3 linked regions of the Arabidopsis thaliana genome follow. The protein of the gene in region 3 purifies or fractionates together with the protein of the main gene of each other region. This does not show direct contact. Each region holds a gene or a part of one and is shown on either strand. Other genes may lie near its edges.

Evidence for each region.
Region 1: the proteins of AT5G40270 (region 3) and AT5G51280 fractionate together in Arabidopsis thaliana (co-fractionation; one large-scale study listed by BioGRID). This does not show direct contact.
Region 2: the proteins of AT5G40270 (region 3) and AT4G33370 fractionate together in Arabidopsis thaliana (co-fractionation; one large-scale study listed by BioGRID). This does not show direct contact.

What each region holds. Positions count from the first base shown.
Region 1 is NC_003076.8:20,839,510-20,844,586, forward strand, and holds AT5G51280 (DEAD-box protein abstrakt), read left to right. Parts: upstream 1-1,729; 5' UTR 1,730-1,946; coding exon 1,947-2,857; intron 2,858-3,271; coding exon 3,272-4,136; 3' UTR 4,137-4,483; downstream 4,484-5,077. Other genes in the region: ACD5 (Diacylglycerol kinase family protein), read right to left, coding at 4,743-4,880, 4,955-5,021.
Region 2 is NC_003075.7:16,069,169-16,073,155, forward strand, and holds AT4G33370 (DEA(D/H)-box RNA helicase family protein), read right to left. Parts: upstream 2,238-3,987; coding exon 2,148-2,237; intron 2,040-2,147; coding exon 501-2,039; downstream 1-500. Other genes in the region: FLDH (NAD(P)-binding Rossmann-fold superfamily protein), read right to left, coding at 1-206; AT4G33380 (dimethylallyl, adenosine tRNA methylthiotransferase), read left to right, coding at 2,896-3,061, 3,152-3,240, 3,313-3,451.
Region 3 is NC_003076.8:16,092,474-16,099,044, forward strand, and holds AT5G40270 (HD domain-containing metal-dependent phosphohydrolase family protein), read right to left. Parts: upstream 4,771-6,571; 5' UTR 4,621-4,770; coding exon 4,495-4,620; intron 3,990-4,494; coding exon 3,952-3,989; intron 3,863-3,951; coding exon 3,840-3,862; intron 3,607-3,839; coding exon 3,500-3,606; intron 3,416-3,499; coding exon 3,364-3,415; intron 3,290-3,363; coding exon 3,205-3,289; intron 3,073-3,204; coding exon 2,982-3,072; intron 2,823-2,981; coding exon 2,784-2,822; intron 2,692-2,783; coding exon 2,624-2,691; intron 2,504-2,623; coding exon 2,441-2,503; intron 2,370-2,440; coding exon 2,314-2,369; intron 2,242-2,313; coding exon 2,168-2,241; intron 2,088-2,167; coding exon 1,995-2,087; intron 1,918-1,994; coding exon 1,816-1,917; intron 1,716-1,815; coding exon 1,635-1,715; intron 1,550-1,634; coding exon 1,458-1,549; coding exon of another isoform or gene 1,454-1,457; exon of another isoform or gene 1,365-1,453; coding exon 1,349-1,364; intron 1,241-1,348; coding exon 1,130-1,240; intron 1,026-1,129; coding exon 921-1,025; and 2 more.

The sequences.
Region 1 (5,077 bases), 4.7 Mb from region 3:
TAGTCCATGTTACATAGTGTAAAACTGTAAAGTAACAAAATGCGTATTCTTCTTAAATCTCACATAGTTCTGCCATGTATATATAATCCCTCTGCATGGCACTTCAAATGAGAATATTGAATGGAGAGTCGGAGACCATATGAAATCATGGATCACGTTCATGATAGAGATCTATATATCCCAATTCACATATATACTATATATATTCTATAATATATCATCTAGGAATACAGATGAAACTGTTACAGAGAATAACAAAATTTCGTGATAATTAAATCTAATATTCATTTATTATTCTTAATACTTTGAATATATATGGAAAAAACATTTATCTAAAATAATTCTTCTATTTAAATAGGGGACTTCAGATTTTTAAAATTTGAGTATTTTGCTTGAAGAAATGAGTATTTTTTTATAAAACTTTCCTTATGTTTTAAGATGAATTTTTCATCTTGTAACTAGACATATGATGTAATTCCAATTTCTTTTACTTTTATTTTTTATTATATATGTAATTCCAATTTCATTTGGTTTTTGCGGTTAGTTTACGAATGAATTCTACATATTACAAAAATATCATAAAATACATATAATGATCTATATTTTAATGGGGTTTTCCTCCCTTGGTTGCTCGCATGATCTATCTTGCCATCACGTCTTTTTGTCTCCCGATCCCTATAATATAGGTATGTGACAATGTGTGTCTATCTTTTTCTTTCTCTTTTAAGTTTTTAACCAATCCAATTTTTGTCAACAACACAATCCAATGAATTCTAACTAATATACTATGAAAGTGGCATATTAATATAAGTTTATATGAATGAACGAGAAAATGCACTTAGACATAAAAGAGGGAAAGAGAGATACATATGCAATGTCAACGTTGCTCAGCTTCACAAACCCATGTTATGAATCTTTTTCTTAGGTACATCAAGTCGTATGATTCTTTTTAAACAAACCATCAAGTATGATTCATTATATGGTTATATCCCAAATAAGAAAATATATAGATAAATACATTTAAATATTGCATGATGTCATGCACCAAAAAGCAACAATATATAATCAACATGATATAGAACTTCGACCCCAACTCCTCCTTCTTACTTGAACTTGTTTTTGGAATTGATATTATTTTTGGGTAAAATTAATGGTTAATTCATTTGAGTCAGGTTTATTTTCTTTTGAATTCAGGTCGGACTTTGAATTTCTTTTTCTTTTCTTAGTCAATATCATCATGGTTAGATGCGAACCATGACCGGGACAATATCGGCTATGTATTTTCTGTTTTGGTACATGTCACTATGTCACCTTGTTTAATTTTAGTTGTTCTGTTTGTGTAACTACGAGTCTACGAATACATTGTCTAATGAAATGTGTTGTTATGTTATATCACATGTCATATATAGTGTAACTCACAAAAGATGTATCATGTCATTTTCTTTATTTAAATCGTGTTACGTAATGTGAAGAACTTAACAATATATTAGCAATTTTAATACATCTGAAAATCATTCAAAAAATCGAAAAACAGAACAAAATTTTGTTATCGTAAACAACCAAGTTAAATGATAGATGAACACAATAGATCAAGGATAAAAAAAAGTTGAGATTTGAGATGAATTTGTTTTTTTTTTGTTTTTGTCACTGAAATCTTTATTGAAAGCCCATTAACTTACAGATAATAGGCCCAATAAACAAAATTTACACGCCGTCTAAACCCGATTTCCGACGACCTACAGAAAAACTTCGGTCGGTCAGTGACCCTTTAAAGGAAAGCTATTAGCGATTGATTCGAGAGATGTGCAAAGCTTGTTGATTTGAGGCTCTCTCTCTACTAGGGTTTGTTGATTTGAGTTTTCTATTCCTCCTATACGTGTTCTTCGATTCTCCTGGGATTTTTTTTTGAAAAAGGGAATAGAAGAAGAAGTTGCTGAATTCTCGATATGGAATCCATCATGGAAGAAGCTGATAGTTACATTGAGTATGTATCAGTGGCGGAGCGGAGAGCGATTGCAGCGCAGAAGATACTTCAGCGGAAGGGAAAAGCTTCGGAATTGGAAGAAGAAGCTGACAAGGAAAAGCTCGCTGAAGCTAAACCTAGTTTACTTGTTCAAGCAACTCAGCTCAAGCGAGATGTACCCGAAGTTAGTGCTACTGAGCAAATCATCTTACAAGAGAAAGAGATGATGGAGCATTTATCTGATAAGAAGACGCTTATGTCTGTTCGTGAACTTGCCAAAGGTATCACTTATACAGAGCCTCTCTTAACTGGGTGGAAACCTCCTTTGCATATTAGGAAGATGTCTAGTAAGCAGAGAGATTTGATTAGGAAGCAATGGCATATTATTGTTAATGGTGATGATATTCCTCCTCCTATTAAGAACTTTAAGGATATGAAGTTTCCTAGACCTGTTCTCGATACTCTCAAGGAGAAAGGTATTGTGCAGCCTACTCCTATTCAAGTTCAGGGTCTTCCTGTGATTTTGGCTGGGAGAGATATGATTGGGATTGCTTTCACTGGTTCCGGAAAGACTTTGGTTTTCGTGCTTCCCATGATCATGATTGCTCTCCAAGAAGAGATGATGATGCCTATTGCTGCTGGTGAAGGTCCCATTGGGCTTATTGTTTGCCCTTCTAGAGAGCTTGCTAGGCAGACTTATGAAGTGGTTGAGCAGTTTGTGGCTCCTTTGGTTGAGGCTGGGTACCCGCCATTGAGGTCGTTGCTATGTATTGGAGGTATTGATATGAGATCCCAGTTGGAGGTTGTCAAGAGAGGTGTCCATATTGTTGTTGCAACCCCTGGGAGGTTAAAGGATATGCTCGCCAAGAAAAAGATGAGCTTAGATGCTTGCAGGTATGATTTCTTTGGTTCTTTTCAATATGATTAATCAACCTGATTGTAATATATGTTTGCGTCTACTGTCTTGGCTGCCTTGTTTGATCTTATATCCTCGTTTTCTGAGTTTTGCACTTGGCTAGATTCTTGGGGATATCTGCTTATTGTGCCTGTTTTGTTGTTTCTGGTTAACGGGATAGATCAATAGGATTGTCTAGTGTCTGTTAGCTACTTAGCGCTTCATTGCTATATATGTTCTTTATTGTGTGATTCTATCGGATTTTTTCTCTCTGAATAAATTTTCCGCACTGGTGTTTCTTTCTGAATGCATCTTTCTTGTCTTTGGAGTCTTGAGACTGTGTCATTTAATTTCAAAATCTTGAGAATGTTAGATGGCAATGATGTTTACCTTCCTTTTTTTCCTTTTTTTAGGTACCTGACACTAGATGAGGCAGATAGGTTGGTTGATTTGGGTTTCGAAGATGACATAAGGGAAGTCTTTGACCACTTTAAGTCTCAACGTCAAACACTATTGTTCTCTGCCACAATGCCCACAAAGATTCAAATCTTTGCCAGAAGTGCTCTGGTGAAACCTGTGACAGTTAATGTAGGAAGAGCTGGAGCTGCGAATCTGGATGTGATCCAGGAGGTAGAATACGTCAAACAAGAAGCAAAGATTGTTTACCTCCTCGAGTGTCTACAGAAAACCTCTCCGCCGGTTTTGATATTCTGTGAGAACAAAGCTGATGTTGATGATATTCACGAGTACTTGTTACTGAAAGGAGTGGAAGCAGTGGCCATCCATGGAGGAAAAGATCAAGAAGACAGAGAGTACGCAATCTCTTCGTTTAAAGCTGGGAAAAAAGATGTGTTGGTTGCGACTGATGTTGCTTCAAAGGGTCTAGATTTCCCTGATATACAACACGTAATCAACTACGACATGCCAGCAGAGATTGAGAACTATGTGCATAGGATAGGACGAACAGGTCGGTGTGGTAAAACTGGGATAGCAACGACGTTTATAAACAAGAATCAAAGCGAAACCACTCTGCTGGATTTGAAACACTTGTTGCAAGAAGCTAAACAGAGGATTCCACCTGTCCTTGCTGAGCTGAATGATCCAATGGAAGAAGCAGAGACCATTGCTAATGCAAGTGGTGTCAAGGGTTGTGCCTATTGTGGTGGTCTTGGACATCGTATCCGAGACTGTCCAAAACTTGAGCACCAGAAGAGTGTCGCCATTTCTAACTCAAGAAAAGATTATTTTGGCTCGGGTGGCTACAGAGGAGAAATATAATCTTGTTTTGTTCCCTTTGCTAGTTATCTCATCTTAGCTGTTACCGAACTGTGATGTTTGTGATGTTTATCTTCCATATGTCACGCTTTTTACACTGAGTCGAGTTCTATCATGTCAAAATATTTCTTAGTTAATATATATGGTCGGATTCTTGAACTAAATTTTGTACACAATGTGCATGCGGTAAGGTGCAAGGTCTTTCGAATTGTATCCCTAAGGTTGCTTTTGAGTTTAGTTGTTCATTTTGGTGTCTCTTCTTTCTGTTGTTATTGTTACAAGTGCCCCTTTACACCGTTGGGTTGTATTGAAGATACATTTTCATATCAGCGCTGAAAGGTAACGTTTTTTTTTTATGGGGAAAAAGGTATAGACTATTAATTACATCATAATGATGTTTACAATGAGAAAGAGTAATATCATCTCCAATCTCCAATGGTTACATCTCGAATTTTTGGATACTATAATATGTTTGCCATGTTCTTTTTTTGGCAACATTGTCATGTTCACTATAAGACTTTTCTAGTTTCCAGTCTCATTTGGCTTTTTCACTTGGGTCACTAACTATGCACAAAAGCTTCATATAAAACCACATTCACATGCATGTTGTTATATCTCTGGACCAGATGCGAACAGAGGTATAAGGCCACGCAATACTTGGGCTGATAATTGGTGAGCCTCAAAGATCTCTCCGTCCAAATTCCACACACTCTCTTCCCCAAATGATGTAAACGTGAAAGCTCGCGTCTGCATTACCAAATATATTTTGATCAGGACCCAACCAAGTTAAGAAGATTAGAAAAGGAAAATGTTTTACAAACCTTGTGATATTCCACAAACTCGAAGTTCAAAGGTTCTCCACCTCTTTTTGCAAGCTCGGTTAGGTGCCTGTAACCCATTACAATCTCTGATATAAGCCTTACTCATAAAATGAATGACAATAG
Region 2 (3,987 bases), on a different chromosome or scaffold from region 3:
AGAGAACGGTAATCCGTTACGTCTCCATAGGCGAGCTCAACTTCTGGAGGTAAGTCAGAGAGATCGCTGGTGCGGCGGACCAATGCACGTACGGAGTGGCCACGACGGAGGAGAACGTGGCAGAGTCGTGCGCCTAAGTAACCAGTAGAGCCGGTGACTAATATTTTCATATTTTCTGTTTCTGTGTTGGGCATCTTTGGGCCCATCGTTGCTTTTCTAAGCCAAGAAACCTCTAATTGGTTGAGAGGGTTTAATTAATTAATATTTAATACAAACATCATTGTCTGAAAGCTGGATCAACCAATAGCAAGATTCTTTTGTGTTTTGTTTTGTCACATACTACAGATAACAAAGAACTAGTAAGTTTCTCATTTGAGTGAAACAAAATTTCAAATTACAGACAGATCCACGAAAATACAAGATGACATAATGAGTAAAGAAATCTCAATTCGGTGATAGCTAGTTCGAAACAAGATTAGAGCACGAACCTTGAAACAAGATTACACCTCTCCTCTGTATCCATCAGAGCCAAAATGGTCTTTCCTAGAACTAGATATAGCTACACTCTTCTGATGTTCAAATTTTGGACACTGTAGAATCCGATGCCCGAGACCACCACAATAAGCACAACCCTTGACACCGCTTGCATTAGCAATGGTTTCTGTTTCTTCCATTGGACCATTAAGCTCAGCAAGGACAGGTGGAATCCTCTGTTTAGCTTCTTGCAACAAGTGTTTCAAATCGAGCAGCGTGATTTCGCTTTGGTTCTTGTTTATAAACGTAGTTGCTATCCCAGTTTTCCCACAGCGACCTGTTCTTCCTATCCTATGCACGTAGTTCTCAATCTCCCCAGGCATGTCGTAGTTGATTACATGTTGTATATCAGGGAAATCTAAACCCTTTGAAGCAACATCGGTCGCGACCAAAACGTCTTTTTTCCCAGCTTTGAACAAAGATATTGCGTAATCTCTGTCTTCTTGATCTTTTCCTCCATGGATAGCCACTGCTTCCACTCCTTTCAGTAACAAGTACTCGTGAATATCATCAACATCAGCTTTGTTCTCACAGAATATTAAAACCGGTGGAGTGGTTTTCTGCAGACACTCCAGAAGGTAAACAATCTTTGCTTCTTGCTTGACGTATTCAACCTCCTGTATGACATCGAGATTCGCAGCTCCAGCTCTTCCTACATTAACAGTTACAGGTTTCACCAGAGCACTTGTGGCAAAGATTTGGATTTTTGCAGGCATTGTGGCAGAAAACAAAAGTGTTTGACGCTGAGACTTAAAGTGGTCAAAGACATGTCTTATGTCATCTTCGAAACCCAAATCAACCAACCTATCTGCTTCATCCAGTGTCAACAACCTGCAAGCATCTAAGCTCATCTTTTTCTTGGCGAGGATATCCTTCAACCTTCCAGGAGTAGCAACAACGATGTGAACACCTTTCTTAACAACGTCCAACTGTGATCTCATATCCACTCCTCCAATGCATAGCAACGACCTCAACCGCGGGTATCCATCCTCGACTAAAGATGCCACAAACTGTTCAACCACATCGTAAGTCTGCTTAGCAAGCTCTCTAGACGGACAAATAACAAGCGCAATGGGACCTTCTCCAGCAGCTATAGGCATCATTATCTCCTCCTGCAGAGCTAATATGATCATAGGAAGCACGAAAACCAACGTCTTTCCGGAACCAGTGAACGCAATCCCAATCATATCTCTGCCAGACAAAACAACAGGAAGACCCTGAACTTGGATAGGAGTAGGGTGCATTATTCCTTTATCCTTGAGCATACGGAGAAGTGGACTCGGAAATTTCATATCCATGAAGTTTTTGATTGGAGGAGGAATATCTTCACCGTTAACTGTAATATGCCATTGCTTCCTAATCAAATCCATCTGTTTGGTTGACATCTTCCTAACGTGCAGAGGGGGTTTCCACCATGTTGAGAGAGGCTCTGTATAAGTGATACCTCTGGCTAATTCACCAACAGACATAAGCTTCTTCTTGTCAGATAAATGCTCCATCATCCCCTTCTCTTGTAAAATAATGGCCTCGGTAGCACTGACTTAAGGTACATGTCGCTTGAGCTGAGTTGCTTGAACAAGTAAGCTAGGTTTAGCTTCTTCAGTGAGCTTTACCTTGCCAGGTTCTTCCACCACCTTTCGCTTCATCTGCGCTAGACGCTCCTCTACTGGAACATACTCCACGTAACCATCATCTACTTCCATGATTCAAAATCCACTCGCCAACTTTTTCAAAGATCGAATCCAAACCCTAATCAGCAGATCTCTCGACTTTCAAGGAAGATCACGCAGATAGATATGACCGACACGGAGTTTTGGTTAAACCGGGGTTGGGGAATGATCGGGTGTGTTGTGTTTTCTGATTATAAGCAAAGAAAAGAAAAGCTACAAGAAGAGAGTCTCAATTAGAATTCGTATGTTGACAAGGAGCTAGGTAAAAGGTAGTTTTTCAAAAATTTAATTTCCATTTTTTTCATATATTGGATTGAAAAATGGCAATGACATGAATCATAGGATTATCACCACATTTAAAGATGTAGTATTTACATAACAATTGCAAGAAATAATACTACAAAACTTCCTATCTAGTATAGACGCTGCCAAAGAAATACATACGACGTTTTTATCCACACGCATTGATGAGATTGGTATATATCTCTGTCTCTGTCGAGTGAAAAATAAATTAATAGAGTAATAATTAAAAGCTCTCTCTCTCTATCTCCCACGATTTCCTTTTTCCGCCGGAAGAAGAAGCAAAAAAAAAAGAAATCGAATCTCTCTTTCAAGTGTTCGATTTAAAGCAAAAGTGTAATTATAATCGGAAGCGAGATCTTGAGAAATGGTGGGATGACGGCGGAGGGAGATGGCGAGGGGAGGAGGAGAATGGACCGGAGGGATCGCCGGAACCGGAGTTCTCTCTTTCAAAAGAATCACTCTACTTGTTTGCTTTTTCAACATTCTCATTGCTCTCTTTGTTCTTCGCTTTCTCTATGCTTCTTCTCTCCACATCTATTCCAATAACGATAATGGTTCCTACTTTTTATTTTCCTTTTCATTTTTGCTCTCTGATTCATGATAATTCGTATCTGAAGCAGCTCTGTTGGTTTTTTGTTATTCAGTTGTTAAGTACACAGCTGATGAGATTAGGAAAATGGAGGAATCTATTCGGATTCGAAGATCGAAGGAACCTACTCTGATTCTTCAATTGGTTAGTGGCTTTTTAAAATGGAACTCGAAGATGCACATTGGCTCTTCTCACAATGTTTGATTTCCTTGTTAGGTGAAGAAGCTCAAGCATGAGGTTTCCACTGCAGAATCTAGTACTGAACTATCTCCTAATGTTAAACACAAACTAGTTGATGAGATCCTCCAGCGTTTGAAAAGCTTTGAGGACAAATCTAATGTTACTCAGCTTAGAGGTTTGTGCTACTCTACTATGCCCATTAGCTTCATGACATTTATTTTTCAAACTGCCACAAACTTGCATTTCATGACTTTTCCTGATCTAGCTGCTTAGGATTTGTCTTATTACCTCTTTGGAATGTCATGGTGATTTGTCTTATTACCTAACCTGTGTAAGATTTTGTTGGTATCAATAGCTCAGTTTAGTAAATATTTCATTATCATTCATGTAGAAGTGGATTTTTGCTCAATAATGCATATGGTTATCAGGATAGTAAAATAGGCTCACAAATTTCAGACCTTTCTGCATGCACTATCACATACTAGACAGAACAATTGATTTTAGCGGGATTTTCAATGGAGATTTTTTCATGCCTAGTTTTTCTATTCTTCTTGTATAAGTTCATCAGGTCTATGGAACATAAGCTCTAACACCCACTTAAGTTCTGTTATAATCTATGCATTGATGATCATATGCTATGTACATGAAACATTTGAGCCACAGAAACTCTAGCGGTGGTGCCATTGTATACATAATCTTTTCGATGTTCTT
Region 3 (6,571 bases):
AAAGGGTTAAAGGAAAACATCATCATATTTTGAATGTGACACATGCTATGATGTTTCAAAGAGCATTTGACAACGGAACTTTTGGGCGAATGTATTCTTAAGGGAAACTTATTTGATAAATCGTACACCGTGAGTGACATTACATAACTTACATTAGGAGAAAACTTCATATTCTTTGGAGAAACACTAAAGTATACCGTGATACATGTGTTTGGATGTCTTACGTTAGCACAGTCAAAAGCGACAAGAGAATAAGTTTGCTAGATATATTTTTTTCGTGCGTTATCTATCTCTATGCAAAGAAGGGGTGCACTTTTGTTTGATCTTGACACTAGAGAGCAATTTGCTTCTCGAGATGTCACAATCATTAATGACCACTTTTCTTTTCTCAACCAAAAGGTAAAATCGAATGTATTTACATCTGATATGTTGTCGAGTATATTGTTGCAACTAATGAGATAGGTGAATGGCATATAGACTGAGTAAAAAGCATATGTTAATAATGTAGATGCAGGCGAGTATACACGATTAAGTAAAAAGCATATGTTAATAATGTAGATGCATTTCTCAAAGTTGGTTTAGGTTAAAATCTATTTTGTTGCTTTTTTAGAGTAAAATAATATCCTATGAAAAAATGTCAAAAGTAGCTACTGCCTTCAATGTGAAAACAAAATAAGCCACACAATCTGCGAAGCTGTGCTTAAAAAAAGACTTAAGATAAAACCGTACGAAATCCGAAATCTTAAGAAATGGTGCCTTGCTTTTCCTTTTCTTACGTATAAACACGCTGTCTGAATCCAAGGCTTCGATATCGTAAGACTAAGGCATGCTATATGTACACGCATCCATATCTAAAGTTTCAAGACCTTAAAAACCAAAATAAAACCGTTTGAAATGAAATGAATTAAGGCCACGTGTAATTACATCACACGCCTTTTCTTTTTCTCAGGTGTTGCGTGTACTTGAGCTTTGATTCCATACGTTCTCATTTGGAAGTTTTCAAATGCCTCAGAAACTGCTTCTACCTGTTGATCAATTTTGCAAACCAAAAATAAAAACGTTACTTCGTGTGCATCACTAGAAACCATAATGTATTAAAGATTAATGAGGGTTAATAATAATCACTTACCAATTCTGGTTTTTTGGCATATACTCTCACTATCATGTCTTGATATGTTGTTGGTAACAAGTGACTGACTCTGTCCTCAGGTATCACAAACTTCTCTGCACTATCATAATCCTGTAAACACCATATAAATCAATTTATTGAGATTCTGTGTTATTTTCCTCTTTACACATTTACAGAAGCAAATCTCAAAAACAAGACCAAAGACTTTTCTGTATGTACCTTATAGAAGTTGATGCTGAAGGAGCCAGATCCAACACAAAGGTAAGTTGGTTAGAATTTTAATGAGGGAAACTGAGAAAACAAAGAAGCTAAACTGTACTTTTTTTACCATTCAAGCGGATTTTCTCTCCCACGAGCCAAGTCAATCTTGACGTTTGTAACAGCTATATCTTCTTCTTTTAGTGTCAAGCTTGTGTGCTTCTGTTAAATCAGAAAGCAATATAAGTATGGTAATGGACTGTACAATATACTTTTCCTCTATTTAAGTGCTAAAGATTGTACAAACCTGAGAACAGATGATATCTTGAGGAGTGACAGCTTTGAAATGATCGATTTTGTCCTTTGGAACCGCATATTCGTTACAGAACTGAAAGTCAAAATTCATACAGGTCAATCTTCTGAAGGGAAATTCTTAACCTAATTAAGCATAAAAGAAAAAGAAGAAACTGGGTGAAAATTTTATATACTTGGTACAACTGCCTTCTGCGAACACGGAGTATCAGCTCTTTCGCTTCTGCAAGTTCTGGATCTGGAGCTATTTCGATAGTTTTGAGGATTGTGTCGTCTAACTGCATTTGTTTATGGAGAACAAAAACTATGTAAACAAGCAGAAAGGTAATATTTGTCTTCTGAGGAAGAACTGTACCTTCCAGTATTCAGATGGGTCATTAATCATAGAAGAAATTTCCAAATGATTGTTGGCTTTGACCATGGCATCTACTATCATCAGCTCTATCGCCTGCAAATGAATGGAACGAGACAAGTGGGAAAGAGAGAAAGAATAGTCAAGGTACAGAGAGAATGATAATGGTATAATACCTTTACTTTCGAATGCGTGTAGACGGTTCGATAAAGATCAGCTCGAGTTGCAAATAACTTGTGGACACTAAGATCTGAAAAATTAACCGGGTTTAAAATGGGATAGAAGCAAACGCAAATAGAGAATTTAGGTGGGCAAAACTTACACTCCTTGGCGCGGAAGCAGATTTCATTGTCCAGGACTCTCATCGTCTCTGTCAGTCTAGAAAGTTCTAATAATTAGCAATTTCCTTATTAGAAACCAGTGAAATGACTATAGAATAGAATGAAGACCTTTGGAATTGAAAATTGGATCCCAGTCCACAAGCTCGAGAATCACGGACAAGGTAGTCAAACCTATAAATATTTGCAGACATTAAAAGTTGATGTTGTAAGATAAAGGTTCAAATTTACGCACCATGATGAGTGAAAAGGGAAAGAAAGAAACTGCAGACAAGTATACAGGTAAAGAATTACTTGTCCACATCAATCCCATTTCGACCATTAGCAACAATATCATACAAGAAACGCTTCTCTGCATTGCCCTGCAAATTATGAAAAAGGGAAAATATATACAAAGCTTAAGTAGTTGTTCATGTTTGATTAGAATAGAGAACATACTTGTTATAAAACTTACTTTCAGCTGTGAAAATTCAGTACTAGCTAGTATCATGTCCTGGTCAGTTAACATTAGAGAAAATCATCAGCAAAGAGACAAAGGAAGCAATAAATATTAAATTGGATTTGTAAAGACTGGAAATAATGTCACAATTTCCAGTTTCAAATAATAGAGGCCATTTGAGGGAAGCAAAACAGTCTTAAGAAAGAAAGTTACCTTCACTCTTTTCAGCATTTGAGCATCAATATCGATGTGATGTGTATCAACCATATGGTCAATCATGTTTACAGACATTAACTCATGAGACCTGCATCGAAGAATTGGCATATAAAGAGCTAGAGATAATCCATAGAAGCCAACTACTAAAAGTTAAGGCATAGTTCTTATAATATCAAGTAACACCATGGCATTGATCTTTTCAAGGAATGTGCAAACATACCACTGACAGTCACTTATGACCTTTGGAAGGAATTCACGCTCAAACATATGACTGAAAGGCCCATGGCCAATATCATGGAGAAGTCCTACACATACAAACAGATCAGAAATTGTATCAAGGAATAATGTAGTCATTGAGCTAATAATAGTTACCACTTACCAGCAAGTCTCACAGTCTGAAGATCATAATTGTCAATACCAAGCTCCATTCCCTATAGAAAGTTAAGCACGTACATTACAAACCTTACCATACTTAAATCAAAATGTGACTGCACCACTGAAATCCAAATTAAAACCTGGAAATTTTTTAGCCTCTGAGCAGTTTCGCCTGCAAGCCAATACACGCCTAGAGAGTGCTCAAATCTCGAATGTACAGCTCCTGGATATACCATGTTTGTCACTCCTGAACCATTAAAGAAAAACTCCTCTCAACGAAAGAAGATACACAACTCAAGACTCATTTCTGTTAAAACTAGAAACCTTAACGAAGAATCTCCTTAAAGTTTTCAAGGAAAATTTCCTATATTTGACAATAAATACATGTTTATCGATGGGGGGAAAATAGACATAACAAGACTGTCTTCTTCGTTAAACAAGAGGAGAGGCAACTTGAGTTGAAAACGCAAGCCAACTCACCAAGTTGCTTTAGTTCACGAAGCCTGAAACAAGGAATTAGAATAATGAATCAGAACACTGTGGTTTTAGCAAGTCATTCATTGAAGGAAACAAGCACAATCCAAGACTTTACCTCTGAAACTGCTCAGTGTCAATGAATTTTAAACAAAGCTGCAAACCAAAAAGTGAACTATTAGTACAGATGCCATGTTGAGTCAATAGTAAACTACATTTGGGAACTATTAGTAATGAGATTCCATAGACATATGAACGTAGGCACTCTAGTGGTTTAGAGAATATGAAAACTCTTGTTTACACAGAAAATACGAAACAATTTTAGCAAAAGCCATTAACACCAGTAAATTTTTGCAGTTGGTTCATCAAATTAGTCTCCGACTCAAAACTCAACCATACATTTCATAATTTTCCGGTAAACAGCAATCTCTAATCCATCCGTGACTCGATAGTTCAATTAAATTCCGACGAAATCACGGCGATGAATGTAAGATAAACGAAGATAGTATCCAGATTCCAACTAGAACAAACGGCACCGGAATTTCAACAGAAATCTCCATAGAAACAGTTCTAGAGCGTCGCTCCTTATCTCTCGCAAACGAACCATTAGGAATCACAGAAACAGGAAACGAAGATGATTATAAGGAAATCAACCACTTACAGGATCGAGATAGATGTTTCCATGAACGTTATCGTAGACATGCTTGCTGAACCGGAGCTCGTTCGCCGGAGCGCCGGAGGAGAACACCGGTAAACTACTTAGGTTTTCGTCGCAATACGCTCCCATCAGTTGAAATTTCACGTCGAACTCACTCACTCGCCGCCGTGAAGCAGTTACGTTGAGAGAAACTGAAATGGGTACAACGACGAGAATTGAGAAAGCGATTTTAAAAGCTGCAGAGAGAGAGAGAGAGAGTAATGATCTTTATTAAATTCCTTTTTGACGTTTTTATGCGATTAATATTCCACTAAACCTTAAATGAAAGGAAAAGTTTCGAATAGATCCCTGTACTTTGCTAATATTCCAATAAATGTGCATATATTTAAAATTACTTAGATTAAAACCTCAACTTCTATTCCGAGTATTTTTTGGCAAATATAATGACAGCAAACTGAATTATCACGGATGTGGCATATGCTCATGCATTTTGACTTGATTCTAGTTAGAAGATAATTTATGATTATCATGTGAGATTAATTTTATTTAATATTAACCTTTTCTGATTATCATGTGAAAAACCATTTTTGTTAAATTATTGGATTTGAATTCCATTAACAATAGATTTATACAATTTTATTTTTTTGATTCTAACAAAATAATGATTTAGATAGTTTTGATATAATATCTTTTTTTTTTTAATCGCAATTGTTCATTTCTTTGCATAAAGTAAAATCTAATTTTTAAAAAGAAGCAACTTTTGATAACCAAAAAAAAAAAATTGACAACCAAACTTGCAATCATAAGACAAATCAGCATTTTTGTAAAAGTGTGAGCGTTTTGGCCAATATATTACATAACTTCTAGTTTGTTGTGCATATAGTTTTAGTAAAGGGGTTTCTTTGTATTAAATGGAAAATATAGGGCTATATCGCAAATTTCGTGTTTTAGGTAGAGGTTGTTTAGGTGGTGGACTGGTGGTGGAGAAGTGGGTTTATGGTGACGGTTCAGAAAATCCGGAGGATGATCATCGTATCTCAACCGATCAGTTACGGGATAAATTAATTTTGGTATCGTTAAAACAAATCGAACCGGCATTTACCAGAACCAAATTGGTATTTTATAAAAAGACCCATTTACGTGGACGCTCGAGCACGTAAGCCCAAAACCAGATTATTGTGTTTATGAATCCCTTCTTTCTCCTTCTAGGGAATCGATTTATTGCTGCTCTCAAATCTTCCCGGGAAAAACACCGGCGCTGTAATTTAATTGGTGTGGCTCCTGATCTCTTATCTAATGTTCTATACTTGGCTGTTGATTTTGAATATTGTTTTTGCTGCTCTTCTTTTAATGATACTTGGCTCTTCTTATCTAATAAAAATACTTTTTAAATTACTACTTTAATACCTTCCATCATTACTATAAACTACTCTTACCTTCTCTGCTTCGTTAGCAGAAGCAAACTCAACAAAGCCATCGCCCACATGCTCGCCCGTGTAGTCTACAATAAGTCGAACATGTACAACTTGTCCAACGTCTTTGAAGAAATTGATGCTGTAAAACAAAGGATAAATATTAGTCATGAAAAATTTGCTCCAGTAAAATGAAAGAGAAAATTATCGGTGCTACTTACATATCTGATATTTGAGCTTCCGGAGAGAGACGGGAAACAAAGAGCGTCTTTTTTCTTACAGCAACTGCCTGAATATAACAGCCAAGTGTGTTAGCTCGACTCTTTAAGGAGAAAGAAAGAACTAAAATTGCATAACAACAAAAGTAGATTCATCCCCCAAATAAGTCATCTTTCGACTTTGTGGCAACAGTTCTGTTATTAAATATCTAAGCCTGACATATTTTGAAGATAATAAGAACAGGTACCTCAACAAAATTGGGAGTTTCATCAAGTCCTTCCACTGCTGTCTCATCTTATTCTATCACAAGGTTTTGTCGTCGAAGGTAGTCTTCGTAACTGAAACATCAAAAATTCTAGTGATCTCATACCAAGAACTACACCCAATGTGCTCATGATAACAAAACTCACAAGGAAAATAGTTAAATCCCTTACCAAAGCTTCTCTGCA